Tamandua tetradactyla: one gene and its partners. The protein of the gene in region 4 interacts with the protein of the main gene of each other region in a biochemical or structural test. Links are inferred from orthologs where the notes say so. Each region holds a gene or a part of one and is shown on either strand. Other genes may lie near its edges.

Region 1 (7,558 bases), on a different chromosome or scaffold from region 4:
TAAGGCCAGAGCTGACATGGAGCCTGACCATATATATAGCCTGTCTTATGCCATGTTAAGGACTTTGAGTCTATCTGAGAGAAACAAGGAGTCATTGGAAGAGTTTGAACAGAGAATGATAAGATCCTGCTTATGTTTTAACATAGGGTTTCTTACTCTAGGCACTACTGACATTTGGGGCTGATTAATTCTTTGTTGGGGACGGGGATGGGGTGCTGTGGGGAGGCGCTGCATTGTAGGACATCTAGCAGCATTCTTAGCCACTACCCACTAGAGGCCATTAACTCCCATATCCCCAGTAGTGACAACCAAAACTGTCTCCAGACTTTGTCAAATGTTCCCTGGGAGGCAAATCTGTCCCCGGGGGAAATCAGTTTTAACAGGAACATTGCGGCTGCTGTGTTGAAAATCCACTAAAAGCAGGTAAGGGCAGAAGGCAGTACACCAATTAAGGGACTCCTGCAAGAATCCAGGAGAGGGCTAATGGTGGTGAGGACCACGGGGTAGAAGAGGAGTTGGTGGAGAAGTGGGCAGATTCTAGGCATTTTCAACTCCTGGGGGAATCTGGAGATTCAGTCCGGAGAATACAATAATTGAGATAGACACAATGGCTACAGCAATGTTAATGTTTTAGTTTCAACATTTTTCCTGACCAAGACTTATAAGAAGTGAGGCACCCCAGCAAAGATTTAAGACAAAAAGCAATAACAAGATCCTGAACAACGTATAGCCCTTTCAAAGTGACACAACAGATGTCGATGACAATACGTTAGAAAACTGTGGAAAACAGTATAGGGAAATTTTGCCAACCCCATATATTTATTCGCAGATTTTATTTAACTGGTTTATTTCAAATAGCATGTGTCTGCTCCACACACAAGTTTTGCAACAACTTTTTTAATTTAGCCTTTCTCTCCATACCGGTTCTGTCCCACACCTGTTTCTAGCTTCAACGTGTGAAGCCATTTCTTCCCACATCCCCACAATTTTCTTTACACAAGCTAGCTAGCTACGATGATGTTCACCCTTACACATAAATTTCTGCCGACTCTGAAAAAGAACAGGCCCAAATCCTTCACCATGAGTTTCATGCCACTCATTTGTGTTTTTCCAGATGGCGTTTTCCTCACTCTCTCAAATTAATTTAATGTTATGTATCAGCTATCATCAAAAATGTTCCAAAGAGTCCAGTTAATTCATTTTTTTTTAGAACTCCCCCCACACACGCACGCATACTCCCTCATTGTGGCCATGTAAGCATTTGCTTATAGAAGCAAAAGCGGGGAGCGCTCGCTTGCTAAAACACTGGTCCCTTTAGGCAGATGCAGATAAAGCCCCAATGAGCATAAGCAACAATACCCTTTACACAATATAACCCAAAACCCCCAGCCCCCAACACACACAAAACAGCCATTATGAAGAGAAACCACCAACTAAAGGCTGGTTTTATCCTCCTAACTGCATAGGACATTTCCTTCCAATCTCCCGTAAGCATTTGCAAAGAGGCTGCTTCAGCATCTGCAAAACCAAGTACCAGAATGTGCTCTCCCAATGTGAAGGTTATACCTTCTCGCTCCTGATTTAGTTTCCCTTCCTCATTTACCCTGATTTCCAACTTTCTTCCCGGTCTACCAACCAGGCCCATTCACCCAGGCCCTACCCAGAGTTAAGGGCTGGACAGCAAGGTCTGAGATGAGCGCAGAAGCTCAATTAAAAGCTTCCAGTCTTATCACGCAATTGAGTTGGGGGAGGTGGAAATAAATTCTTCTCTGCTCTCATAGCCTCAACTGACCATACTTCCTCTCAGTAAACAACAGAAATGAGAGGTCCAAGGGGTCCGCAACAGCCACAGGGCATACAAAAAGGAAAATACCCAACCCATTCCAACTGGCAAGTGGTAATGGACATAGTAAAGGAGGGCGGCGCAAAGGAAGTGGGCATCAGAGGTGGTGAGAAGCCAGGCCAACCAGGTATCTTCACTCTCCTTCTGAAGTTTCTGAAGTCCACAGCAAAGTAAATGGGTGCTGGTGCCAGGCAGGAGACACCCCCACTATGTCCCAGGCCTAAGGCTTTTTGTTCTCCAGGGAAGGCCTGGATATGGACGAGACTTCCAGTGAGTTTAACCTAGACACGCCCACCTGCTGCCCCCAGCCTCTTTGGCTCTCTGCGCAGCGGATCAGGTAGGTGAGAGGCGGGGCCCCGGGAAAACTCTCCCAGACTCGCCAGGGGCGGGTTCCTCCGAGAGAGAGGCCAGTCTCCCTAAGAACCGACAAGCTAATTGCTTCCCCCGACCGTGGCGTCTCAATCTATCTCAAAATCTCCCTTTCCCAGCAATCGGCCCACGAGGATCTTCAGAAAAGGGTTTCACTAGAAACTGCACCCCCTCTTCACCCCCTTTCCCCGGAGCAGTGTCCCGACCCCGCGCTCCTCCTCCCCCACCTCCGTGCGGGTCTCTCCCCAGCCCCCAATTGGTTACAGCAGCTGACATCCCCTATCGAGGGTCCCCGTGACCCCCGTCGTCCCCGGCGACCCACGGCGCCCCTCAGAGTGCGCTCGCACCGATCCCCAGATGCGCACGGGCCGGGATGGCGCGGCCCCAGCTGCGAGGGGTAGTTCGCCCTCTGCCTGGGGGCAAGGGCACGGGGTCCTTGTCCGAGAGCCCGGGCAACTAGCTGTCTCTGGCCCAGGATGGGAGGCGCGGGACCCCCCAGCCGCCCGCCGTGCCTCCCTCCAGCTGTCACTACTCACCTGCTCTTCAGAGGCTGACTTTTGAGTTCGTAATAGGTTTTCGGCTCTTCGTGAAACTCCTCCCCGACTTCGAAATCCGGCACGATCCCGGATTCTGACTGCATGGCTCCCGTTTCTCGTCCTTCCACAGTTCGAAAGTAAGAACTGAGCCAGGGGGCTCAAGGAAGGTGGCAGGGCCTGGGTCCCCTGAGCGGTGCGCCCCGGCACAGTGCCAAGCTCAGCCCGCTTACCCGCGCGGCCGCCCGCCAGGGCTCTGTGAGTTTACACTCGCACTCGGGCGGGAGGGGCCGGCAGCCGAGCGCTGTCTGGGATCTGTAGTTCGACCCGGGTGGGGCATTCCGGCCTCGCGGAGGGAGCTGCTCCAGCTGAAACTACAGCTCCCACAAGGCCAGGCGGGTGGATAGGCAACGTGGTGGACACCGCTAGTGCAACTCCTGTTTGGATTCATTGTCAATGTCAGCAGCTCCTCTCCCTTTTCCCATTTGCTTCAAGGGTACATAATTGACTATTTTATATTAATAAGAACGGTTTCATCCCTGCTCTTCCACAGCTCAGACATGTGCGAGGAGACGTCAAAAAGTTTTGGCACTAGGAAGTTTTAGCGTTCAAGCTTGCCTTTAATAAAAGAACTTCCTATCAGCCCGCAGACTTCCATGGGCTGCTGCGACATGTCAACTTGTCCTCGGATTGGAACAGAGTGAGGAACTTTCACCTAGTAATTAAAGCATTATTGTAGAAATTGTTCTCATGCGTTCTTTTTTTTTTAGCTTGGTCTGGGCTTTTAGAATATTATTCATCTAGCTGTTTTCCTCTTTATCCAGTTATCCACTTATAATCTTAAAGCAGCACTTTTAAAGTCCGGTTGATTTAAGAAAGCACTAAGTTGCAAAACAGCGTTGGCGCTGTCTGTTTTTAATTTCTCCGTTGTCTGGGAACTCAAATGAGATCGTAATAACATTTCAAGAATAAAGTTGTGGGCTATATAAACCGTCCAAGTGTCAACCTCCTCCTGAACTTCTCTACACTCAGGTAACATTAAAAAAAAAATTTCAATCGATTACGGTTCATTTGTACTTTCAGCGCTTCCCTCTGAGTAGTTCTAGTAGGAGATGTTCCTTATTTTTAAAAGTGTTTTAATGCATTAGACAGGCAGTATAGAGTTAGAGGATGGCATCTAAAGTTAAAAAACCAGAATCAAATCCCAAGTCCTGCTCAGAAACACTGTGTGATCTTGGGCATGTCACTTGATTTTAGAAGCTTCAATTTCTTCTTCTATAAACGAGGAGATTTGCAAGAGAAAGTGATTTTGTAATCTATAAAAATAATACTCAGTGATCTTTCTTTCGTTCATTATATCTTGAAGACATTTATCTCAGTCTGGCATTTCACCTGTGTATTTCTCCTTTCAGAGGTAATGAGCTTATGATCATCATAGAACAAAACTGTAAAAAGTCTAGACTAATGATTGGTCATCTCCCAGGAGTTGCCCATTTGCCTGTTGTTGTTTTTTTTTTAATGCAATTTTATTGAGATATATTCACATACCATATAATGAGCCAAACTATACCGTCAGTGGTTCACAATATTATCATATAGTTGTGTACTCATCATCACACTTGATTTTTGAACAGTTTCATTACTCTATGAACAATAAAAATAGGAATAAAAATAAAAATGAAAAAGAACACCCAAAACATCCCATCTCCCCTATTATTTATTTATATTTTGTCTTTATTTTCTTACTCTCCTGTCCATACACTGGATAAAGAGAGTGTCAGTCACACAGTCACACCGTTAAAGTTATATAGTTATGCAGTCATCTTCAAGAATCAAGGCTACAGATTATAGTTCAGGCATTTCCCTCTAGCTACTCCAATACACCAAAAACTGAAAAGGGATATCTATAAGCGCATAAGAATAATCTTCAGAATGACCTCTTGCCTCTGTTTGAAATCACTCAGCCACCAAAACTTTATTTTGTTTCATTTCTCTTTCCCTTTTTGGCCTAGCAGTCTTTCTCAGTCCCATGATGCCAGGGCCAGGCTCATTCCTGGGAGTCAGGTCCCACATTGCCAGGGAGATTTATACCACTGGGAGTCATGTCCCACATAGGGATGAGAGCAGTAAATTTACCTGCAGAGTTAACAGAGAGTACCTGCTTTTTTTGTGTAATGAACATTTTAGCTTCAAATCAGAAAAGATCTCTAGGGATCTTAAGGAAATTTGGAAATAGTACAGAAGGTATACTGTATTGCAGTAGCGATTTCCAAATTCCCACAATAAAATTTGGTGCCCAAAGTACTACTTTTAGGTCCTTCACTATAACCATTAAAACATGACAGAATACTTCAAAGCACTCCTGAGGAAAATAGGCTTTTCATGCCCATGAATATGGGATCTCTGATTCTTTGAGAGACTCCTGGAAGTCAGATGTTGAAAGTGAAGAAGTGTTATCCCCTGCCAGAAGGAAGAAGAAGGAAAAACATGAAGGGTCCATTCAGTCTATCTGGACTCCTAGACTCACCTGGGGTCTCAACTCTAGACAGACATGTGGAATATGGGAGGAAGGGTTGATTGTCAAAATAACTTGGGGGTATCACAGGCATTCTAGTGGGATATGGGCCAGAAATGCTAAACATTTTGCGCACAATGACGAACTTTCTTGTTCAAATGTTAGTGGTACCCCCATTGAGAAATATTGTGGATTTCTTAATCTTTTGGCTCACTAGAAGCTTTTGAATCTGAGGAAAGCTATGCATCCTCTCTGGAGAAAACACAAATGTAAACAAAATTCTATACTTGATTTTGGTCTGTTGAATACTTGAAAGCTATCGAGAGCTTTGCATTAGAAGTGCAGCTTATAACCTCTTTAGAAGCATAATGAAACATTCCATTACGTCATTCATTATGTTGAACAGTGGCCTACCAGACCTAAGGAACAAGAGGTGATGGAGAAAAACCTGTCAAAAATGCTGAGACTTCCTGAATTTACCTCCAACTAGGGGCACCCTCCATAGAGATGCCTGGGGTGCAGGCTCTGAGGTTGTCTTGAGGCACACACAGATACCTGCTATTTCCCTCCATTTTTTTCCTCTGTTCAAGAAAACTTCTCCATTACATGTAGCAGGGGTTTCGATTGCAGTGCCATCTACCACCTAAGAGGAGTGGGCATGAGACTCCCACTGGCCAGTCAGAACTCCCCATTTCCTTAACCACATGATTCTTTTAGAGATGGACAGGTACCCAAACATTACCAGATGTCTTCCTTGGGACTTTTCTGCTAGGCAATTGGGGAAGCCTGTCTCTGGCTTTTGGAAGTATGGTGCTGGAAGGAAGAAAGCCTGGAACTATTTACTATGACCACATAAGGTAGCTAACCTAAAATGGGAAAGAATTAGATGAGATCCACAATCAAAGAGCAGCAGAAACAAGCTAAACTGAGTGTGCTGGTTTGAAAGGATGTATGCCCCCTAGAAAAGCCATATTTTAATCAAAATCCCATTCATAAAGGCAGAATAATCTCTATTCAATATTGTATGTTTGAAACTGTAATCAGATCATCTCCCTGGAAGATGTGATTTAGTCAAGAGTGGTCGTTAAACTGGATTAGGTGATGACATGTCTCCACCCATTTGGGTGGGTCTTGATTGGTTTATTGGAGTCCTATAAAAGAGGAAACATTTTGGAGCATGGGAGATTCAAAGAGAGCAGAGAATGCTACAGCACCACGAAGCAGAGAGTCCACCAGCCAGTGACCTTTGGAAATGAAGAAGGAAAACACCTCCCAGGGAGCTTCATGAAGCCAGAAGCCAGAAGAGAAAGCTAGCAGATGACGCCGGTTCGCCATGTGCCCTTCCAGCTGAGAGAGAAGCCCTGACTGTGTCGCCATGTGCCTTCTCACTTGAGAGAGAAACCCTAAACTTCATCGGCCTTCTTGAACCAAGGTATTTTTCCCTGGATGGATGTCTTTGGTTGGACATTTCTATAGACTTGCACTTGGAGCATTTTCTTGGCCTTAGAACTGTAAACTAGCAATTTATTAAATTCCCCTTTTTAAAAGCCATTCTATTTCTGGTATATTGCATTCCAGCAGCTAGCAAACTAGAACACTGAGAAATAAAGAGAAATTACTATAACATTGCTTCTACGCCTTGTTCCAACCATACCTGAAGTCAGATATCGCTCAACTTTTCAGATATATAGACCAAAACAAAATCCCTTTTGGCCGAAAATGTTTTTGTTGGAAATTTTGCCACTTGCAACCAAAAGAGCTTTGAGTACTTCGTATAAAAAACCTTTCACTCCTTGAAAGGAACATTTTTCTATGGACTGCCACACCGTCAATCCATGTAACAAAAAGCTGGTCACCTGATCGATAGCACCTGTAATCCCTCTTCATTAATGCATTGAACCCTAGGAGCAGGGCCACATCTGAAAACTGGTGAAGAAAAAAGTCCATAGCTCTATTCATTTCAACTGAGAACTGTGCCTATTAAAAGCACAAAAGGAACAGCTAGAAATTATAAGTATTTTCATTGGTAATATTATCTATATTTATGTTACACTTTTCTTTCTACAGAATGCTTTTCGCATTCATCTCTTATTTGAGCTCACAAAAATCCTGCGAGAATAGACACCAAAGGTCACTGTTTCATTATGCAATGAACATGTGCCCCATGTTCTGGACATGGCATTGTGTTAGGTACTCAAACTACTTCCTGCCCTTAAGAGGCTTACAGTCTATGAACTGAATGAAGACTGATAACACAGTGAAAAACTACACTTAAGGCAGGAAATGCTAAGCAGCACA
Region 2 (7,543 bases), on a different chromosome or scaffold from region 4:
CAGTCCTAGCCAAAGCTCAAGGACCATTTTAGCCACACTTAGAAAACTGTGGTCAGAGAAGCAATGACGCCCCCTGGTGCCCAGTATCCGGCGTGCCAGGAAAGAACCAGCTAGTCTGTCAGCTACCCCAAAACTGTTCTGGTAAAAGCAAGGACTTCCTCCAACAGCTCATGAGACCATTCAAACATTTTGATTCAGCTAATTCTGCTCATGGATCCAATTTCTCTTTCTACAAAAATCTCTATGAAGAAATGTAAAAAGCTTAACTAAAGAATAAAAAAGCATCCATGAGTTCTGTGATTTAAGGAAATAAAAAATCCTTTTGGCAGGGGATCCTTCTTTGAGTGCTCACCAATTCAAGAACCACTGCAGGGTCTCATTCAGGTGGTCGTTGAAAACATACAACTACACAGAAGCTTTTGCAGGCTTACCTGGGACAGGTGAATGTGGGCCAGCTGCCTCTGCAGCATCAAATCAGGTTATCAAGGAAGAGACCGTGTCAGACTGGGCAGGTGCTAGGCTAGGTGAACGCATTCAGGTGCTCTTCAGCCTGTTAAAGGCCAAGCTGCTGAATGTTTTTGCGGAACGGGTATGAAAATCTGCGGAATGAATGGCAAGATCTTCGGGTGAGGCCGACTTCTCCCCACGGACGCCACGCAAGAACGTGGACGTTACGAATCTACCAGGAACGAATCGTTACGAAATACCGAAATACCAAGAGCTCCAGAATCCAGCAGAATACGGAGGAGAATAGTGCTGACCAGATACAAACCTTCAGAGTGAACCCAATACCTGTGCTCTGCATCTTAACTGGGACAATGACAATTCCAGCGAGCAAAATTTCTACTCGCTGGCCAGTCTAAATCTCACTTCCAAAGAATAAGAGGTAACAGATCATCATCCTACACTTTTGGATTTCATGAACCAGTAAGATTTCAACAAAAAAAGGGGGGTGGGGTGGGAGGGGGTATTAAGACTTGCACAGTTTTACTTAACTAAGTATGGATTTTTTTTTCCTTAAACTATCATCTGCAGGCAGGCCACGGTGGCTCAGAAGCAGAGTTCTCGCCTGCCATGCCAGAGACTCGGGTTCGATTCCCAGTGCCTGCCCATGCAAGCAAAACAACAACAACAAAACTATTACCTGCGATCACTGTGATTAGACAAAATTCAGGTACTTAAGAAATACCTTTTCACCGTGAGAACGATCAAATATACCCAAATGTAGAGAGAACAGTATAGTGAGCCCTGTGCTCCAGTTATTCAGCTTCAATAATTTCTACATATGAAATTTCAATCTTGATTCACGTTCCCACCCCCAGATTATTTTAAAGCAAATCCAGATACATGATTTCACCCATGAATAAAAGCATACTAACATAAAATGGTAGACTGAGTATGCTCTTGGAATGAAGGATGAGCCTGATAGATATTTAGCTTTTAATAGGGTACAAGATCATTACTTTGTCTACTGAAAGCCAAGATCTTGGTCATACCGGGTCCATCAGCTCAAGTCTGGGACCTGTAGCTAGAAGATAACAGACTCTGAGAGTTAAATGCCTTTAACTCAAATTAATCTGAGACAAGGGGCTTAAATAGCAGACACCCACTCCATAAGTAGCTCCTGAATGCAGAGCTAAATGTCTTGACAGAGCTCAACCTTTACTTCAGCAATTCCACTTGAAATATCGTAAATAACCCAATACTCATTTCCTACTCTGAGATGTGTATATCTATTTATCTATCTATCTACCTCCAAGACTACTCAAACATAGCTTCCTCAAAACACCACTCAAGCACATTCTCTCTCCTTTTCCCCTTTAAATTCACTTTTCCAGGATGAACTGCACTCCAGAGTGACACCATCAGCCAAGTGCTGCTGGGGGAGGAGTAAAAGAAGCAGCATGCAGAGGCCTCCCCAGGGACCGCTGTTAGAGAGGGGCCTCCAGGGCTCTTCTGCAGAGCGCCAAGGCTCCGCTGGGAAAAGAGCAAATTGAGCAGCTTTTCCCTTCAAGGCTGGATTCTTGCCACCCATTAGAGACACTGGACTGTGAGCACCGGGATATTCTCACCTATCACCTCGGTTTTAGGGTGCTACCCCATCAGGCAGAAGGCCGAGGAAACCGAATATTGCCCGACAAGAAGCAACGCGTATTTAAACAGCCCACAGCCGGTACCGGCGCTCAGGACCGCCTCCTCCACCGTGACCGTGGGAAGGTTACCTTCTCCAGGGGGGAGCCCTCCCCACCTCTCCCAGTTACAGAAAACAAGCAAAAAGCTCTCTCCGACTGACTTTGACCATTCCAAAAAAGGTCGGGATCCGGTGTAAATGATGCTTTCGTGGGTTAAGACTGTGCCCGACACTGACGCTGGCCACTGCCGCCTCTCCTGGCCCTGGGTCCTGGTTGGGGTCCACCGGGGACAGGAGAAGGCAGATCTCACGCAGTGACAAACGCACTCCACCCGGCCCCTCCACGAGAACACCCTGGACCTCTCACAGGGGACGCATCCCAGCGTCCGCTCCTCGAAACTCCACGGGGACACTCCGGACCCCTCGCGGGCGGCGCTGCCCCGGGCCCGCTCCCCAAGCCTCCGCAGGGACACCCCGGACCCCTCGCGACGCGTGCGCGCGGCCCCTCAGAACGCCCGTGGGTGCGCCCCGCCACCCTTTGCAGCGCCCCGGGCCCGGCAACATCTCCACCCCTTTCCCACGGCCGCGGTGCGGCCCCGCGGCGACACCCCTGCGAACGGCCCTGACCGGCCCAGCCTACCGCGGCCCCCGGTCGGCCTGATACGGGCCCGCGCGGCGGTGGCGTCTCCTGCAACCCGCGGCCCCGCACACGCACCATCCGGGCCTCCGGCGCCTCACACACGTGTCACAGAGACGCTTAAAGAGGCCTTGCCCTGCGCAGCGCGCTGCGCCGACGCCAGACGCTCCAGCAACTTTAAGAGGCGGAGCTATCTCCGGACCCAGTTTCCTGGGCCCGCCCGCGGCCGCGCTCCGCGCGGGAGACGTCACCGTCCCCTCCCGGGCCCCGTCAGCCTACGCAATGACGCAACCACGCTGCGCCAAAATCGTCACGCAGCGAGTTCCCGCAGAGCACGTGATGCCGCCTCCACTTCCGGGGCGGGGCGGGGCGCACGCGCCGGGTGCTGAGTGCCCCGGGGTCACTCCCTCCTCCCTTCGATGCTTTGTGTGAAGTGCGCGCCCCACGCCCCTCCAGGGGGAGTGGTTCGGGCTAAGGTCCTGTGACCCAACTCCCCGGGCCTGGAGGGACTTCGTGACCTATTGATGACGTGCTGCTATCTTGCACCTGGCCGTTCTGACCTCACTCACTTCTTCAGCTGCGTGGGCTAGTTCTGGGGAGAAGCGGGTGCAGAGGCGGAGGGACCTGGGTCTGCAACCTCTGGGGGACTTACCTGCAGTTCGAAGTCGTGCGTGATGGGGACATCGTGCTCGGTCACAGCCAGGGAATGCCAAGGCAAAAGGGGTTTTTCGGATGAAGGGATCAAGAAGTGGTGGCATTCGCCCTTTGAAGCGTCCCGAGACTATTCCCCATTCCCTAGGCCCACCCCACCTTCCTAAAGCATCACCCCTTGACAACTGTATATTAAGGTCTTGGCTGAGTTTTTACAAAAACATACCGCTTTTGCAGTTTTTTCAGTCTTCGACTGAAACAAGGACTCAAAGGCTGGTCTCACTATTCTGAACTTGATACAGTGTGCAAGATGACTAAAGATTGGGGGCAAGGAACACCCTCAATGGCAGGGGAATCAGGAAAACTGGGTTTTATCCCACCTCCTCCCTAATTAGCTGGTTGCCTGTTTTAAATTACTCAGGCGGACATCTCTTTACTTCTGGTAATAAAACTGACAACGTTTACTACCTTTGCCGAGCTCAGATTAAGTGTGCTAGATACCGAGCTCTCCACTTTGCCCACATTATCTGATTTAATCCTCATAACCCTACAAAAAGGTATCATTGTTCCCATTTTATAGTTGAGAAAATGTAGTCTGATTAGAAACTTTGTGTAATGCCAGCAAACAAGTGGTGAAGTAAGGGTTGAAACTCAGACCTGCCAGCCTCCTACAGGGCCTCAGAGGTGCCCTTCAGTTCTTAGGTGGTGTCAAAGGAATTGGTTGAAAGGCCTGCATTCAGCTCAGGTGTGAGACCCAGAGATTGGGAAAAGCTTTTGACCACCCACACTACTACCCATCTCCCCCTTTACATTCCGTCCCAGAAGTTTTCAGAGTAGAATTCCTGGTGTTACAGTCACTTAAGACCAATTAAAAAGTCTCAGGTGCTCAACCTCAAACATCGCCAGAGAAAGACTAATTAAAACAGACCGGGTGGGCAATGGTGGTGCAGTGGCAGAGTTCTCGCCTGCCATGCCAGAGACCCGGGTTTGATTCCCAGTGCCTGCCCATGCAAAAATAAATAAATAATTTTTTTTAAAATTTATTTTTAATGTTCTTCCACAAGGAAGAACATTTCACACCCATTGGAATAGCAGCAGTTATAAAGATTCGATGTCAGAGAGAATATAGAGCATCTAGAACCCTCATACTTTGCTGTTGGGAGTGTAAAAAGATGCAACCATTTTGGAAAATAGTTTGGATGTTTCTTTTATATGAAACAACCCCCTGCCCAATGAGCACACATTGCTATAACTACTTGCTACCCATAGTCCGATAAGTTCCAAATCTACCTGTCCAGCCCACTCCTCTCCCCTGGTCTTTGTAATCATTGACCCAGTTGCCTGCTGGACATCTGCCCCTGAAATGTCCCCCAAATCCCTCAGACTTGCCATACCGAGAAACAGATGCATCTCCATCCCTCCCCAAAGAGAGCTCTGCTGCCTGCCTGTGCTTGGGGCGGGGTGCTGGTGCTCAGACCCAGTCCTTGCCTTTCTTAAATCTTTTCTGTGTCACAGGAAGGTGACTCCAGATCCCTGCATTTCCCAGACTTCACTGAGTGCTGGCTCCAGCTGGGTTCGGCCACTGGGGGGCACTGGCAAGACAGGAGGACAGAGGAAAGGAGAAGAAGGACCCTTCTCTCCCTCTTTCTGTTTTGAATGGTGTCTCCGACAGTGGCTGCAACCTCCAGGCATGTCCCCTCCCTGGGCTCTGGTGACACAATCTCTTCCCTGCAGTCCCCCTGCCTGGAGATAGGGACAGCGTCCTGCTGCTTCTCTTCTCCCTGGTCGGCTTCTCAGAGAGTTTGTACCAATAGGGTATAGCCAATCCCTGCATCCACTTCCTATCTCACAAACTGTATGTGGGGTGGTTTCCATGTTCCTAACTGGGGCCCAGACTGAAACAGACAGAAACCCCGACATCCACCAGCCAGGCTAGACTTCCAGACTGCTCTCTCCCTCACCCCACGGAAGTCATCAATCAACAAATTTTGCCAATTTTATCTCTCACATATTTCCCGATGACCTCGTCCTCTCCATCCAATTGCTCAAGTAAGGCCGCTCACCACGCTTGCCTGCACTATGGGAATGCTCCGATCCATTGCTCAAACGGTCAAACAGAAGAGTACACTTTGTTAGACACCTGAGTGCAGTGCTCTCCTGTCTGAAACACTTACCTGGACCCGGACGCTGCTGCAGAGAGCCAGCCTCCTTAGTTTGGGGTCTAATGGCCCCCTTGTGCCATATGTTCAGCTACTCCCTGCCCTGGGCCTTTCAGCAGAGCCGAAAAAGAGAGCTCCTCCCCCACTTCCTGTGTAGGTTGTCTGCTCCAAGCTCAAGCTGGTTCTGTGACCTAGGATTCCATTCCTTCAATTCTTGGCTTGGGCACTACCTCCTCCTAGAAGCCCTCCGAGATTCTCAGCGTCCCTGCCATTAGGTTAGACTAGGTGCCGCCGCCGGTAGACTTGCACATTCCACTTACATGTTGGAAGCTTAGGTGGCCTTTTCCTCCCTGCCTCACTATGACTCCTTTTTTTCACATGAGCAGGCACCAGGAATCTGAACCTGGGTCTCTGGCATGGCAGGCGAGAACTCTGCTTTCTGAGTGACTGTGGCCCACCCCTCACTATGACTCTTAATTCATTCTCAAGTCTTACTCATCTGCGTATCTCTGGGTTGGGCATGTTGCAGCAAAGATAAAAATTTGAGGGACCAAACCAAATGGAAAAGCAAATGCTCAAGAAGAGACAAGTGGATGCTCTCTAAATCTTGAAAGAGAAAACTAGAGAAATACCAAAGATGAAAGATTAAAATATTCTTGATAAAAAAAACAAAACAAAGCAAATCATAACCAAAATTGAATGCATTGTTGTGCTAACTCCAAGAAAAAGCTCATTCACAGAATAATAGCCTCGTTTTCCAGAAGCGACCCGGGGACTTCCTGCCTTGGATGTCAAGGTAAAGTGGACTTCAGCTTTCACTTTTACTTTTCCTGCCTGGTGTGTCCATAGACCTCCTCAAGAGCTGTGCTCATCTTTGGAGAAACCTGTGTCACATTTCAGTTGTAAATTGAATGTCCTGCTGGATAATTGTGATGCCTGTCCCCCTTCTTGACAAATGCACGCTCACTCCTCAAAACTCACCCTCCATGGCCTCTTGCTTTATGCATTTGGCATGGCTGGTACTGCGGGGTTTGGTGGGTTTCTTTGGGCACAGGCCCCTCGGTTTACCCCTGTGGATACAGTGTTACTCTGCAGGGTTGTTCCTCTGGAAGCATTTCATCTTTCTGTGTTTGGCCTCCAGGATGAGAGTCTGCATTTTCAATTCTTTTAAGTCTCATGCCACCTTGCTTTTGGACCCCTGTTTTCCCCATCTCTGCCCTGGGTGGTGTACATAGTTGGCCCAATCATCTTCTCCTTGCCGTGCCTGAGGCTACCTGGGAAAGGAGGAGGTAGAAGGGGACCATGGCAGGAGGCTCCCTACAGTGGGTTTGACTGAGCTCCCTAAAAGGATAAGTCCAGGTCTTAAGCCTCCATATCAGCAATTGTGACCTTATATGGGATTAGGGTCTCAGTAGATGTCATCAAGTTAAAGGTCATACTGAATTAGAGTGTCCTTAGAAGTTGAAGTGAAGAGACTCAGAGAGACACAGGGAGAAGGCTATGTGAAGATGGAGGCAGATATTGGAGGGATGTGGCCACAGGCCAAGGAATACCAGCCACAGGCAGAAACTAAGGCCTCTGCACCCCTGCCCAGGGATCAAAATGCTAGAAAGCCTGCTCATATTCACTTGTTCCACAAATATTCCAGAAACACCGACTGTGGGTTCTCAGTGCCAGAAAAAAGAGTGTTCCTGGGCATGGCCTCTGGCCCAGAGGATGGTTGCATTCTTTGGATGCTGTTGGAATTGCAAGCCCCCACCACCCCACCCTACCCCCAGCAGACACACCACCTCTGAATTGCAAAAGCAACTCTGTGGCCTAACTGGACAAGTGAGTAGAGTCATAGGTTTGGCCCAGGGCACATTTCAGTTGAAACACCTAGAGATACCTAAATACCTCCTTCTCCAAAGCCCCTGACTCTGGTCAGGCTGGACTGATAGAGGTGCTGCTGACACAGGCTAGAGT
Region 3 (7,113 bases), on a different chromosome or scaffold from region 4:
TAGAACAGTTTTCCAAAATACCATCAGTATTTGAGAAAAGATTTTACCTTGTACTTCTTTATCATGATACTCCTTCAGTTTTGTCCAAAGTTCCTTGAAGTCATTAGATATATCTGCAGAACTAGGACTTCCAGAACTGCTTCCAGATATGTTCATCTTGCTTAATATACTCCACACTTTTATTTGCCTAATATTTTCTGACCCTTTCTTTTACATTATATAGATATGAAGTTGCCTGTGGAGACCATTGATATATCTGAAACAAAAGATTACAACACAAATGAATTTTGCATGATTACTCAAGGACAAAACACAAGCCCAGCTGTCCTCATGTTTTCTTTATTTACCTACAATTCATCACTTTAAAAGGAGGGAGGGAAAAATGAGGGAAGATTAAAGTGAGAAGAAGCCCTGATTTCAGTAATTCGTTTTTTAGTTAAGCTAAATTTTACCTAAATTACGCTAAATTGAAAGGATCCTGATATTGAGAGGTTCTTTTTAGCATAGGCAGGCTCCCAGAAACGAACCGAGCATGGCAGGCAAGAACTCTGCCACTGAGCCACTGCTGCACTGCCCTATTGAGAGGTTCTTGATTAACCATGGTCAGTACTGATTTAACATTAAAAGACTATATTGCTTTTTAATTTTTGGATTGATGTAAGGTGCAGCAATATGTCGAATCCCAAACTGGAAAACATTCTGAAATATTCTTGTATTAACAAGTACCAACATGTATATACATATCTATATACATATAGACATATATGTGTTATAAGAGAGCAAGACTAATGACTGATGTATTAATACAAATGGGCTCTGGATAGCTTTCTCATAAGTCAGTGAGCAAAATACATATACAACAAAGTTGTATAAGTATAGAAGGGAAAGGCAATTAAGGTAAAGCTCTTTCGTGCCTCTGTCAAAGTAATGGTGAATGATTAATTTTTATTTCTTGTGTAACCAATAAAGAAAGTGACAGGGTATTAAGAAGTTCAAGAGGATTAATAAATTATTTTAGGATGTGTTCTTTAAACTGAAGCCACTAAGAAGCTACTACTAAAAAAGGAAAATGAGTAACATAGTAAATAAGCTATGGTCTTCTAACCCAAGAAGGGTTTTGTGTGAAGCCACTTAAATTATAAAGCACCGCAGAAATAAAAGTTAACTTTTATTAAGCATTTAAAAAACTGGGATTAGATTTTTTTAAGACAATGAGTGAAAATAATGTGTACTTGATTTCAGATATTTGGAATTTATTGCTCATTTCTTGTGTATGATAGAATTTTTTTTAAATGTCCTAATCTGTTAAGGAGTATATACTGAGGTACTTACAGGTAAATGACATATTGTTTGGGATTTGTTTTAAAATACTCCAGCTAAAACAAAAAAATGATTTTGGATGGGGAGATGAAAGAAGGGCTGAGCACTGGCAATTATTAAAGCTGGGTGATGATGAATGGATATATGAGAGGGTCCATAATTCTAGTGTTTCTTTCTTGGGTATGTTTATATTTTCCATTACAATTTTTTAAAATGAGATTAAATGCACTGCATTAACACAGCTTTGTTTCCAAAGAGGCTTGTATTCTACTATTTTTAACACTAAAAAAATAATCAGCCTGTATTACCGTCAATAAAAGTTACCATTTATTATTTACTATATGCCACGGACTGTACCATTTTACATTCACCGTTTTACTTAATCCTCCGAACAATTTTATAAAAGTTATTATTATTAATTTCATTTTAGAGAGAATACAGACATTTGCGACCTCCTCATGGTCACAGCTAGGATTACATGGCTATGTCCGGGTTGAAACAAGTGATACCAATAACTGCAAAATAATTCCTCTTTGTGGCAAAAAAGGTGTATGTGTGTGTGAAAATTTTTTCATTAACTAGTTAAAAGAACAGCATAGTATTAGTTTAAAACCGAGTATAAAATACTTCTCCTTTAAGAAACCCCTCTCTATTTAGACAGTAAAAAAAGGGCTATGTGGCTTTTTTTTTTAACCATTAAAACACTTAATACTAAACTTACAAATTCCGGTTCACGAAAACCTCCCCAATCTATGATGCAACGTCCAGTATTGACTGGCATCACTCCTAGTGCCCTGAACCGTTACTCATAGGACGATGCTCCTTAACTTCTCAGAAATGTCCACCTTACCTCCCAAGTGGCAATCCGGGTTCGTACGTCTGTATAATTTGGTAAAATTTAATACACCGCCCCGGGCAGTGTAAGCCACCAAGCTGAAGGTTCTTAGTAAAATATCTGTTTCCTGTCACACCACACGTATTCTCACACAGGTGGGGCAAAGGACGCGCCTCGAATCACACAGGAGACCTAGACAGACTGAGCAGGAGATCTGAGGGGTCATCTGAGCAAAGCAGAGGTCCGGGTTCCTATGCCAGGCCCCTTAGCTATCCGCCTGTCCTCAGGTGCCGCGCGAGTTATGCGGACGGGTCCCCCCAAAACACCCGGCGGGCTTTTGCCAAGTGCGACTGGCGCGGGTAGCGCGCGCGGAGGCGCAGGACGTAGTCAGCGCAGGCGCGGGGCGGGCTCGGCGCTGGGAGGCGTTTCCTCAGCCCGCGCGGGAGACCAAGGGAGCTGGAGAGGAAGGGCCCGTCCTCCCGCTGGCGCCCGTGGGCCGACTTCACCTTGGCCCCAGCCTACCTCCTCGGGCACAGTCGGAGAACCGCAACACGCTCCCGCACCCCGGGAGTAAACCCCGGCGCTTAGCGCGCGCTCCACCCTCGACCGGAAGTAGCAGCTACGACCGGGGAAAGGGGGAGGAAGCGTCCCCTTACCCACGGCTCCCAGTGCTGCCTCGAAATTTTCGAAAGACCAGTAGGGAGGCGGGCGCCTTCGGGGACTGTGAAGAGACGGCCGCTTGCTTTTTCCTCTTTTTGCACCAGACAGGCACTCCCAGCCCGCGGTTTGTTGAGGAGAAAGTCGACGATCGCGGGCTGAGCTCACCGGTGGCCGAACCCGTCCCGCCCGGGGCCGCGCGACGTCGCGCGGGAGTTCTCGCAGCGCCACGCCCCTTCCTCCGGCGGTGGAGTCTGGCTGCGCCCCCAGACCCACGGGACGAGGCAGAGCGTGTGCGGGTGAAGGTGGACTAGGACTGGCTTTCGGGAGCGGCTCAAAGGGCGGGCCACGCCAAAGCGTCTTTGAGATTCCCTGGAGACGACTCAGGCCGTTCTGTCAGGAGAGCCTTAAGTCCCGGGTGTTAGGTGCAAGGTACCTTATGGTGTATCTGACTTAAATTTCGAGGAAAGCCTGTGAGTGACCTGTACCAAACGGAAAGTTAGAATGAACTGATGGGGAACGGACACGGATCAATCCGTAGTTTCTGCGTTGTAGCTTTGCCTATCGTTTGGAAACTGAATGTTATAACCTGACAAAACTCCATATATTAAAACGAGACTTATTTTGCTGAGATTAAGTTGAAAGTTTCTGGCGAACCTGAAAAGAGAAGGAATCAGAAGTGACCAGCATTATTTGTTGGGACAACTTGCTGTTAGGTAATGTTTAAAATAAGGTCAGTTTTTCCTATGGATGCTTCTTTATGATATTCAAGCTGATGGTATGTTTTACTCTTTATCATGCTTTCTAACAGAAGCGGTTTTGGACCATTAGGAATTTTACAAATGAAACTGAAGAAAACAGACGGTGAACTAGAATCACAACATTTTAAAAACTACTCCAGTACTTTTCTGTAATACTTCTAAGCATGGGAAATGGTCAGAGTAGTATTGTAAACTTGTTTTCTAAGTAATGTTTAGAAAATAATAAATAGAAAGTGTAAAATTAATTTTTCTGCTCATCCTAGCTCTTAAGAGATGAGTAACAACTTTCTCCTTGAAATTGGACATTGTAATGGGACATGACGCACCATTCTGGCACTGCCATACTTGGTATTTTTAAAATGTGTTGGTGAACCTTCATTACCTTGTTATGGGAACCATCATTTATTCACTTCTAAATTTTATGACTTAATTCATAACACTTTTAATGAATGAAAAAATTCCCTATGCTATTTTTCAAGGCCACATAGGAGGAATAATGGGCAGTGAAGCTTGTATAAATGTTTATGGTGGAATTGGGGCGTTTTTGTAATAAATGGAAAAAGTCTATAACCAGTTTGTCAGATAACAGCATATGGACAGAAGGCTGTATTTGTGGTCCAAAGGAAAACCATCATAGGGGAATGACCTAACCTGTTCCTCTGTCCTCTGCCAATGGCTCCACTGTCCAGCCCATTTATGAAAGTCAGAATCCAAAGACTCAGCCTTGACACCTTTTACTGCCTTAACCTCCTTATTCTGCCCAGTCCATCACCAAGTCCTGCTAATTGTACTTACCAAATATCTCCCAAATCCATGCACTTCTCTCCATCACCACGATAATTCAAGATACCATGATCTCTTACCTAGTCTTTTGCTGTTCTACCCAACTAACTACCCTACCTAAACTTTTCTTTTCAGTGATGTTCAGAAAAATTTGTCAGCATCTATTCCCAATTCATATATGTATATATAATTTAAAATTGCACAAATGGTGCGGGCCATGGTGGCCCAGAAGGCAGAATTCTCGCCTGCCATGCCAGAGACATGGGTTTGGTTCCCGGTGCCTGCCCATGCAGGGAAAAAAAAAATTTCACGCATGCATTGCTGAAAGATGGTATATAGTCTGAGTCACAGTCTCTGCCAGTCAGAGCTCTTGGATTTGAATCCTGGCTCCAGTACTTCCGGAGTGGCCCTGGGCTAGTTACCTCATTCCTCTGTGTCTCATTTTTCCTACTTATTAGAAGAGGATAATAATAGTACCAACCTCACAAGATTATGAAGATTTACTGAGTTGATGTATGTAAAACCGCTTAGTAGTGCCCATAAACATAGTATAAGCTCAATAAATGGTAGCCATTATTAGTACTTGTGAGCTAATAGACTGAATATTATAACATATTTTTAGAGGATAAGAAAAATAGAATAGAAATTTAATATTAACTCCTTCTCTCACCTAAGATTGTGTCCACTTTGAGATCATTACATCTACTGTGATCTTGGAAAGTAAATCTGATGTCATTATTGCTGCTTAAAACCCTTCAGTGGCTTCCTGTTACTTTGTGAAGAAAGTCACTTTGAACTGCCTCTACTGCATCTCCAGCTTCATTTCCAAATATACTCTGCCTTCAGCCTCATTGGCCTTTTAGAGTCTTGAGAGCTAGTCTTCTACGCAAAAGGCCCTTTGCGTGCTGTTCCCTATACCTGGAATTCTTGACCAAGCCCGTCCTCTTGCCTAGCTAATTACTGTTCATCCTTTTATCTTGTTTCAGTGGTCTCTCCTATTAGGTGCTCTTACAGGTAGGACTTAGCACAGGATTCCCCATTTTTCATTTATCACAGGTTTATTTAAATGGTCATTTATTTAAATTTATTTCTCTTCACTATACTGTTTCTTGAGGTCAAAACCGTGTCTTGTTCATCATTTTATCTCCAGAAACCAACCCAGTGCCTGCCTAAAATCAGTACTTTGTGGATAAATGAATGAATGAGAAATCTCTGGATGGATTTCTGTTTTTTATATATGTGGAAACCTTTGGGTGTTTTCAAAATTCCTAGATTATCTTTTTAAAGTTTTATAATGGTCACTTTAACAGTAGAAATATCCATAGATATTTACTCCTCCCAAATAGCTTTAAGACCCGTATGGTGGAATAAATTATGAAGTACCCAAAGATTTGCTTAGAAAACGTCCTTAAACTGAGGAGTAATTATTTTGAACTCTTTGTAATATTGGTTTTCCTATAGTTTATGACTTTAAACAATGATCCCAATTTTTTCAATCATGGCATACTTAGAAAATGAATATTTGTATTACATATTTTGATAAAAGGTCAGAGGTCTTCCCCAGGCCCAGCACTTCCACCCTTAGGGCTAGGGAGTTTAACGGTCTCAGCACACCTATAACCCATTTGAGGCCCCTGGTTAGGATGCTTGATTTAAAAATTGTTAGAACTGTAGAATTTTGGAACTCATGTAGATTTTAAAGTCATCTAACTTAGGCTGTTAAAAATGAAATTCTTTGTTGATTCTATAACCTGTACTTAACTCCTACAACTGGGTAGCTTAGCATGAAGGGAAAATCACATAAGTTAGACTGGTAACGCTTTTATTACTGGTTTCAAACCTCATGTAGATATCAGTTGATCTTTAAAATAGCATTTGTTCAGATTCTTCTCCTATTTCCTTTGGTGTTTTCCAAACCTTCACTATTTTCTTCAAGCTCCTGAACAGTGTTCTTTTAGCAGACAATCCAACCTTCTGGTTAAACAAGACAACAGGTAGGGCTCAACAGATGTGATCTTCCTAAACTTCCCTTTTCCTTTCTCAACCCTGTGAATTAGGCAATACTATTTTGCAGATAATACAGCCTGAATCCACTTGTTTCTTATCACCATCTTTGCCTCTGGTCCAAGCCACAGTCATCTCAAACCTCTTTAACAGCAGCAACCTCGTATTTTTTCGGTCAACTCTCTGCTTCCACTGTTTTCCCCAAATAGTGTACTCTCTGGCAGCGTTGAAAGTGATCCCTTAAACTTTAGAACATGACGTTCCCCTGCTCAGAACATTCCAAGTTCTTCTTGTCATCTTAGACTAAAATCCAAATTTATTTCTATGGAGTCAGGACAAGTTAATCACTGTATTCTACTGACGTTATCTCCTAAATATAATTTTGAATTGATACTTTCCTTATTCATATTGCCCTAGTTGAGGCCCCAGTGTTTCTTACCTATACTGTAGCATCCCTGCCTCCAATCTTGTTCACTTTAATCCAGTCTCTCTACAGAGCCACTAGAGATTGAAACCAATATTTCTGATCTTGGCACTCCCCTGCTTAAAACGCTTCAGTGATTCTCTGTTGCCTAAAGGTTAAATGCCTAATCCCTGTAAAATGTTGCAGAAACCTTTTTTAGCCTTGTGTACTCTACCTCACACTTCATTCTTTCCCTCTATCAACAGAAAACTACTTTTGTTCCTGTCTCTTCCCCTCTTCTATTTCTTTGTCTTGGCTCATACGGTCCTTTTCTCTTGGAATTACTTCCA
Region 4 (7,193 bases):
TGCATGTCCACCCTGCTGGGGGTGCCCCTTTCTCCCAGACCCTGTGCACAGGGGCACTGCATGCCCAGCCTCCCCACTCTGCCTGCCCATGCAGGTGCCCTGAAGACAGGAGCTCATGGGAAGGCCTCTGCAGCTTGCTCCCCATCCAGCACCAGCACAGAGCAGAGAGCACTGGCATCTGCTCAGTTAATACGCTCAGAACTTGGGTGAGGGAAGACCAGCCGCCTCTAAGCTATCATCCAGGCCAGGTGGGTCCTTAAGGGAGCCACAGACACTGTAAGGGGGCAAAAGGACATTCAGTTTGTTCTGGAGGGACTGGGCCCAAGGCAGGCACATGGGAGAAGCCAACAGGATGCTCTCTAGGGCCACCTGCCCGCCGACCTTGTGCTGGGACCCCACCTCAAGCCCCTCTTCTGATTTGACAAGGAACAGAGCTCCAACCGAGGCCCTGGCCTCGTTAGAGCCTACCAGAGCCACGGTCCTAAGCTGGCTGCTTCTGAAATGTCCTGTGCCCTGGAGCACCCTCACACCAGGGGCTGGTCGTATAGGACCCCTGCAGCCCCCCTGTGAGGGAGGACAATCTGTTTCACCTTTGCCCACCTTGACAGACCAGATCAGACACCAGAAAGAATGTTTTGGCCATTAGGGTAAGGAGCCACAGGTGTCTGTCCCAGGCAGCCTCCTGTTCCTACCAGTCTCTCCTCCAGGAGAAAACAGTCAACTTGTTACATTTCGATGATAAGCTTCCACATCTCAATCTACCTTCAGAAATGAGAGGCACTGGCTGAGCAGTCAAGTGCTATCAGGTGCTTCAGAGAAGGAACGTTAGATGATGCAAAGCCAAAGAAAATAAAACCCTACAAACTATAAGGTGCTGGAAACCCGCAAAGCACACCCTCCCCACCCCCGGACAAGGCCAGGTGCTCGCTGGGCAGGGCAGTGAGGTACAGCCTGCCCCCACTTCTTCCGGGGCTCCAGGAGGGGTGCACCTTTCATCAACTCTGCCAGCTGAGGGCACGGACTTCAGAGCCGACTCACTTGCTGTGTGTGCGTGGGCAAGACATTTATCGCCCCGAACCTCAATGTACTCATCTGCAGGAAGGGTGATAGTCCTGTGGCCTTGGAAGGCTGGAGAGGATGAACTGATAACTGAAGGAAGCACAGGCGCCTGTATGCTTGGGACACCCTCTGGAACAAGGCGGGGCACAACTCTGCAAACCCCACGCGACCTGCACTGAGCAGACCCTGTCACCCTGCCCGCACCTCCTCCATGCTCCCCCCATCACCCCTGTTTCTGAAGCAAGGTCCCAAGACTCCACCCCAGCCAGCAAAGGCACACAAGAAGGCAGAATTCACCCCATCACCACTCAAAAGGGCTAGAGCAAACGAATCTCTCTGTAAGCAAACCACAACGGACTTAAGCCAGATTTCTGTTTTCTGTTGGGTAGGTTCTTTAAATAAAGGCAACGTTTTCTGTATAACGAGAAACATTTAAAGCTATCATCTTCAAAAGGGAGGGAAAAGTCACAGTAACTTTGCAAACTAAGGAACTGAACATAACTTAGGATGATAAAGACGAAACAAGTTAATACAGGGATCCTGCGGTGACCGCGGACCATGCTCCGCGCCAACGACTCCTCTCACCTTCTCACTCAGGTTAACTACTACTTTCAACCCCATACAATCAGCACAAAGCAACTTTAAATATAAAACAGAACTCTCCGTCAAGTGCAGAGCTAATCTTCGGCGTGATCCATCGGCTTCACACAGAACGTCTTTTTACCAAGAAAACGGAGACTTGTTTTGATGAAGACATCAGAACCAAACCGACCCCGCTCCCCAAGAGCCAGCGTTTTTAGCAATCCCAGGCTCTCAACTCTGCTGTCGGCTTCGCTCCGCGGCTGCAAAGTGCTGCAGGTCTGTCGTCCGGCCCTGTGGCCCCAGAAATGAATTCCCCTTCGGCCGTCGAAAGCTCCGTGTTGGGGTGGACGTCCTGCCGCTTCGCCTTCCCGGCAGCTCCGTGCTCCGCTCTCCCAACGCCGGAGCTGCGGGCTCCTCTTCGCTCTCCCGAGCACCCAGGGGCATCCCCGAGCCGCTGCCGAGCCCGCGAGGGCAGAGAGGGAAAGCGGTGAGACCGCAGCCGCAAGGCCGAGGGGACGCCGGGGCTCGGGGAAGCTTGCCCGACAGCGACTCCGCGCCGCAGCCGCTCCCCCGAAGGAGGCGGGACGAAGTTTCTCGGCGCGGCGGACCCTCCGTCCGGCCCTGCACAGAGGTGAGAGGGCGCCGAGCCCCGGCGAGCCCCCGCCCGGCCCCCGCCGAGGCCTGCCCGGCCCCCGCGGCCCAGGCCAGGCCCGGCCGGCCCGGCGGCGGCCCCGGCGCGCCCGCCCCGCCCCGCGCGCGGCCCGCGCTCACCTCGGGCGGCCGCGGCCCCGGTGAGCGTCGCGACGAGGCGGAGGAGCCGAGCGGGCGCGGGCGGCGGGCGGCGGCGGCGGCGCTTCCCTTTGTCTCGGGACTTCCCTCCGGAGCCCGCTCCGCGCGCAGCCCGAGCACCTCCGAGGACCCCGGCGCGGGCGGGGCGCGCGGGGCGGGGCCTGGCGCCGGGCTGCCCGCCGCGCGCCTGCCCCGTGCGCCGCCGCCGCCGCCCAGCAGCGCCACCGCCGCTGCCCGCCCCGCGCCGCCTGCTGCCCGTGTCCCGCCGCCGCGCGCTCGCGCTTCGCGCCGGGCCTGGGAGCCCGGGAGGAGTACGAACTTCCAGTCAGGCCGCACTCTGGACACCTGCCCCCTTAAAGGAGCCGCGTCCCGCAAACCAGGGAGCGTCGACAAACTCCCTTTCTGGAGGTGCGCGTCCACGGGCGGACGCGCCGACGAGCTGAGGGGGAAACGCGGGACAGAGACCGCCAAGGGCTCCCCGGATGCCCGGTGGACACCTCTCCGGGCGCCGGTCCCGGAGGTCTCCTTGAGGTCAGCGCCCGGGTCCGGGGAGCAGGAACCACCGAGGCCTAAGGCCGTCCCGAAGCATCGCAGACCGGTGCCGCTCCCCCAAGTTCAGCTCCCTGTCAAAGTCCTTACAATTGGCCACCGCGGGGCCCGGGGCGGGGCGTCCCTTGAATCCACCCAATGGGCTGACGCCGTACAGAAGGCCGAAAGTTGGCGGCACCGACGGAGGAGAACTGCGGACGCTCCCTAGCCGGGGGCCGGCCCTGGGAGGAGGGGAGCCGGGGGGAGGGCGGGGCGCCCGTGCGGAGGGGCTCGCTGGGCCGCGGGGAGGGACTTCTCCCTCCCTCCTTCTTTCTCTCCTTCCGGTCCCCTCCCCCGAGCCCGTGGTGCCGAGGCCGCGGCTTCCCCGAGGCAGGGCCTAGTCGGTGACCCACACCTCATGCCCGCAGGCACCAGTGCCCGGGGCGCCCCGGGGTGAAGTCCCTGTGCCCCCGGCACCTGTGACTCCGGGGAGTCCAGTGAGGACGGAGGGGGGCCTGGGTGGGTTCAGTGGCGGCCGGGCCTGCAGAGGGGCTGGGGTGGTGCCAAGCGGCCGGCCCTGTGAGCAGGTGGGCCTTCCACGTCCCTCGCAGCCTCAGAGCTCCCCGGGGCAGCTCACGCCGGTGGCCCGCGCTGACCGAGCACAGCCTGGCCGGGGACGCTGCCTCCCCTGGGCGGGAGGGGCAGGCCCAGCCGCGGGCCCCCAGCTTCGTGCATGTCTGCACTTCTCCCCCAGCCCCATGTGGTCGGGAATCGGACTTGTAAACACATGCCCGGGGGAGCACATGGCCGCCGGGCTAAGCTGCCGTGGGGGTTGTGGACTGCACGTCTTCCATGGGAGGATGTCAGGAGCTTAGCACAGGGCTACGCGCGGAAGGTACCCAGCAGAGAGCCACTGCTGGACGAAGGAGAGACCAGGGCCTAAGTGGGCCGGGCGCAGCCGTGGGGCGCGGAGTGGGTAGCACGGGCCAGGTTGGGGGCCTTGAGGGTAACGGGGGTGCTGTTTGACAAGGCAGACTGGTTGTAATTGCAGGGTCCTGATTCCCAGGGCCATGGGGAGCTATGGAAGGTTGTGGAGCAGGGAAGGCGAGTCGGGTCCCCAGCTCCGTGTCTGTGCTTAGTGAGAGGATGCCAGGGGGTGAAGGAGACCTGGGCCCTGAGCCCTGGGAGCTCCTGTGGCAGCGTGGACAGGGCACACTCAATCATGGGAGGACCTGGCAGCGGGAAGAGGTCCAAGAGCGGTGGCCCCGACGTCTGTCTCGACGTCTGTCTTTAGAGACGCAAGATGGTCCCTGGGACCCTGTGAGACACCCTCGTCCCCAGGTGTCAGGCACAGGGCAGTCAGCGTGGACGGCTGAGGGTTCTGGGAGCAGCTCTGGACCCCAAGCCTCTGTCCACTTGGGAAGGCCCGAGGGGCTGTGAGGACGGCAGTGGGTGCCAGCGTCCCATCCAATGGGAAGCAGGTCCGGGGAGGTGGGAGATCCAGGAAGCCCCTGGGCAGCCTCTTACACGCCTCCGGTGGCAGGGTCGGACTCACCCCGAGGCTATCTGCCGCCTTTCCCCGGCTTCCCGGGTAGGCCCGTATGTGTTAGGGCCCCGGGACTATTGCCCCGTATGTATTAGGGCCCCGTAGGGGTTAGGGTCGTCAGAGAAAATACCGGATGTCCGGTGAGATTGGAATTTCAGATGAACAGTGAATATCTCTTTAGTATGAGTGCATCCCAGAAGTTACAGAGACCCACTTAAACAAAGACGTTATCTTTGTTTATCTGGAATTCTGACTTCACTGGGCACCAGTATGTTGAGTTCTTAGACCTGGCAGCACCCCATCCGTCAGCCTTGCTGTGGAACAGTGAGGACCGCGCCTGGGGCAGGCTGCCCAGAGCCAGCAGCTCTCCAGCCCAAAACTCCTCCTGCCCCAGGGCTTGCAGGCGGAGGAGGGCGTGGACCCCAAGATTCTCATCTCCCAGGCATCAGAGGGCACAGGCAGAGGAAAGGGACGCTGCGGGTGGGTGCAGGGGCACAGGAGGGGGCCCGAGAGGAGGCCCTGGGCACCTGGTCCCCCTGGTGCATGTCGGGGCCTGAGAGGACCTCTTTCCTGAGCCTAGGGTCTGGGCATGAGTCCCAGATGGGGCCCAAGGGGCGGGGAGCAGGTGCGCAGGGTGGGGGTGGGGAGCAGGTGTGCAGGTGGGGGAGGGGCCGGGAGCAGGTGCGCAGGCAGGGGGATGGGAGGGGTGCAGGTGTGCAGGAGGGGCGGGGGGCAGGTGTGCAGAGGAGGCAGGTGGGCAAGAGGGGCGGGGGCAGGTGCGCAGGAAGGCAGCTGGGGAGGGGCTCCTGAGCTGGGGAGCAGCCATCTCCTCAGATCCCGCCTTCCCAGGGCTCTGGAGAGAATCTGTTGAAAGAAGGAGCAGGGCCCCCAACCTAACGCTGGGGGAGGGGCCGAGAGGGGCGGCCCCTCCCCCAGCCTCCCTGGGCCCCCACCCTGACTTGGGAGGTTCCCCCCGCGCGGCAGCCCAGCCCGCAAGGAGCCGAGACCCCAGACCCAGCCGTGCTCCTGCTCCTGTCCTCCGGAGTTGCCCTTCCAAGCCCCCCTCTATCTCCCCGGGAAGCCCTCTAGCCCGAGGGGAGCGTCTCAGCCCCTCCCCGGGCCCTCGGCCCTGCGCTCCCGCTCGGTCCCGGGGGCGTCCCCGCCGGGCGGGCCAGGGCGGTGCAGAGGCGGAGCGGCCGGTGCGCGCAGGCCCGGGTGGAGGAGGGCGGTCTCTAGCCCTGCTCCTGGCAGAGCTGAGGAGTCCACGGGAGTGGATCCGTCATGAGTGGAAAATAATGAACCCTTCTGCAAACCCTCCTGCGTGAGCCTGTCTCAGGGAGCTTGCTTGTTTTTGTTTTTAATTTCTAAGTGACTTTTTAAAAATTTGTTTTCCGTATATATTACTAGAGAAGTTGTGGATTTACAGAAAAATAACACGGAAAATACAGTCTCCGAACATCCTCCCCCCCTACACACACCAGTTTCCCGATTTTTAACACCTTGCATTAATGTGGTGCTTTTGTTACAGCCGATGAAACAATGTTATAATTGTCCCATTAACTATAGTCCATAATTTCCATGAAGGTTCACTGCTTGTGAACATCGGACAGTCCTATGTCGTTTGTGTTTCCATTATTATTCTAACAACTTACATACAACCTAACGTTTCCTCCTTTTAACCACCTTCAAATGTGGAATCCAGGGCTGGTAATCATGGGGTGCTACTGCCAACACCAACTTCCATGGCCAAACTTCCCTATTGTCCGGACTAGAAACTCTGTACAGCTCTCCATCCCATCCCCCCCCCCCCCCCCCGGGAGCCTGCATTCTGGTTTCTGATTCTAGGGGCTTGCTCAATCTAATTATTCCGTGTCAGTGAGCTCATACAATATTTGTCCTTTTGTTGTCTGGCTCATTTCCCACAACACGCTGTCTTCAACTTGCATCCATGTAGTTGCATCCCCAGGACTTCATTCCTTTCTACAGATGAAGAATGTTCCATTTTATGTAACTGTCATCCCTATGTATCCAGCCATCTCTTGAGGGACACTTTGGTTGCTTCTATCTTTGGGCAATTGTAAAAAATGCCACTATGCAACTCTGAAATCTGAGATACTGAGCTGTTTGTATGTAACTGGTCGTCCAGAAACTTTGAGTATTTATGTGACACTTGAGACTCAGTGAGAGCTCTGAAGCTGTGAAGGTCAGCAGTACCACATACAGGAACTGTTTAAAAAGTTAAAAAAGTCATCAGACATCGAGTAGAGAGATGAATGGAGCTCATCTGGATAGGACTAAGGTATATCAGAAGACGGGGTAAGGGGTTCTATCGTCCATATTTTAAAACTTCAACTTCTATATGAGACTAAAGGTAGAGATGTTTATTTTGGTGCAAAATTTATACTTTCGGTAGTGTATTTCCTAATTTAACTTGTGTGGTCAGTTTAGTTAGCACCGTAAGTACTGGGAATCTTGAATAGGGCATGAGATTTTGTTGGTTTGTCCAGGTTGGTGTGATGCCCTGATAAATACTCAGTGAATAAATGAGTAGTTGCAGAGTCCCCTTGAGGGAATGGGGAGAAAAGGGGAAATATACAACTTCCCCATCTGGAGACTTTCTGATATTCTCGCAAGCAGTGGGGACAACCAAATCAATAGGCTGAGCCCTTGAACTTGGGGTTCGTCCCTA

What was found.
Region 1: the proteins of UBE2I (region 4) and MITF form a complex in vitro, tested with the Homo sapiens proteins (2 studies listed by BioGRID). The link is inferred for Tamandua tetradactyla from reciprocal best matches to the Homo sapiens genes UBE2I and MITF.
Region 2: the proteins of UBE2I (region 4) and USP36 form a complex in vitro, tested with the Homo sapiens proteins (2 studies listed by BioGRID). The link is inferred for Tamandua tetradactyla from reciprocal best matches to the Homo sapiens genes UBE2I and USP36.
Region 3: the proteins of UBE2I (region 4) and RBBP8 form a complex in vitro, tested with the Homo sapiens proteins (2 studies listed by BioGRID, with this or other methods). The link is inferred for Tamandua tetradactyla from reciprocal best matches to the Homo sapiens genes UBE2I and RBBP8.

Annotation. Positions count from the first base shown.
Region 1 is NC_135341.1:14,361,700-14,369,257, forward strand, and holds the start of MITF (microphthalmia-associated transcription factor), read right to left. Parts: upstream 3,014-7,558; 5' UTR 2,853-3,013; coding exon 2,749-2,852; intron 1-2,748. UniProt on the Homo sapiens protein: Transcription factor that acts as a master regulator of melanocyte survival and differentiation as well as melanosome biogenesis.
Region 2 is NC_135332.1:71,213,478-71,221,020, forward strand, and holds the start of USP36 (ubiquitin carboxyl-terminal hydrolase 36), read right to left. Parts: upstream 3,010-7,543; 5' UTR 2,847-3,009; exon of another isoform or gene 2,772-2,846; intron 600-2,771; 5' UTR 432-599; intron 1-431. UniProt on the Homo sapiens protein: Deubiquitinase essential for the regulation of nucleolar structure and function. Required for cell and organism viability.
Region 3 is NC_135344.1:60,619,756-60,626,868, forward strand, and holds the start of RBBP8 (DNA endonuclease RBBP8), read right to left. Parts: upstream 3,015-7,113; 5' UTR 2,678-3,014; intron 2,524-2,677; exon of another isoform or gene 2,171-2,523; intron 257-2,170; 5' UTR 157-256; coding exon 48-156; intron 1-47. UniProt on the Homo sapiens protein: Endonuclease that cooperates with the MRE11-RAD50-NBN (MRN) complex in DNA-end resection, the first step of double-strand break (DSB) repair through the homologous recombination (HR) pathway.
Region 4 is NC_135349.1:56,133,514-56,140,706, forward strand, and holds the start of UBE2I (SUMO-conjugating enzyme UBC9), read right to left. Parts: upstream 3,020-7,193; 5' UTR 2,928-3,019; intron 2,479-2,927; exon of another isoform or gene 2,413-2,478; intron 1-2,412. UniProt on the Homo sapiens protein: Accepts the ubiquitin-like proteins SUMO1, SUMO2, SUMO3, SUMO4 and SUMO1P1/SUMO5 from the UBLE1A-UBLE1B E1 complex and catalyzes their covalent attachment to other proteins with the help of an E3 ligase such as RANBP2, CBX4 and ZNF451.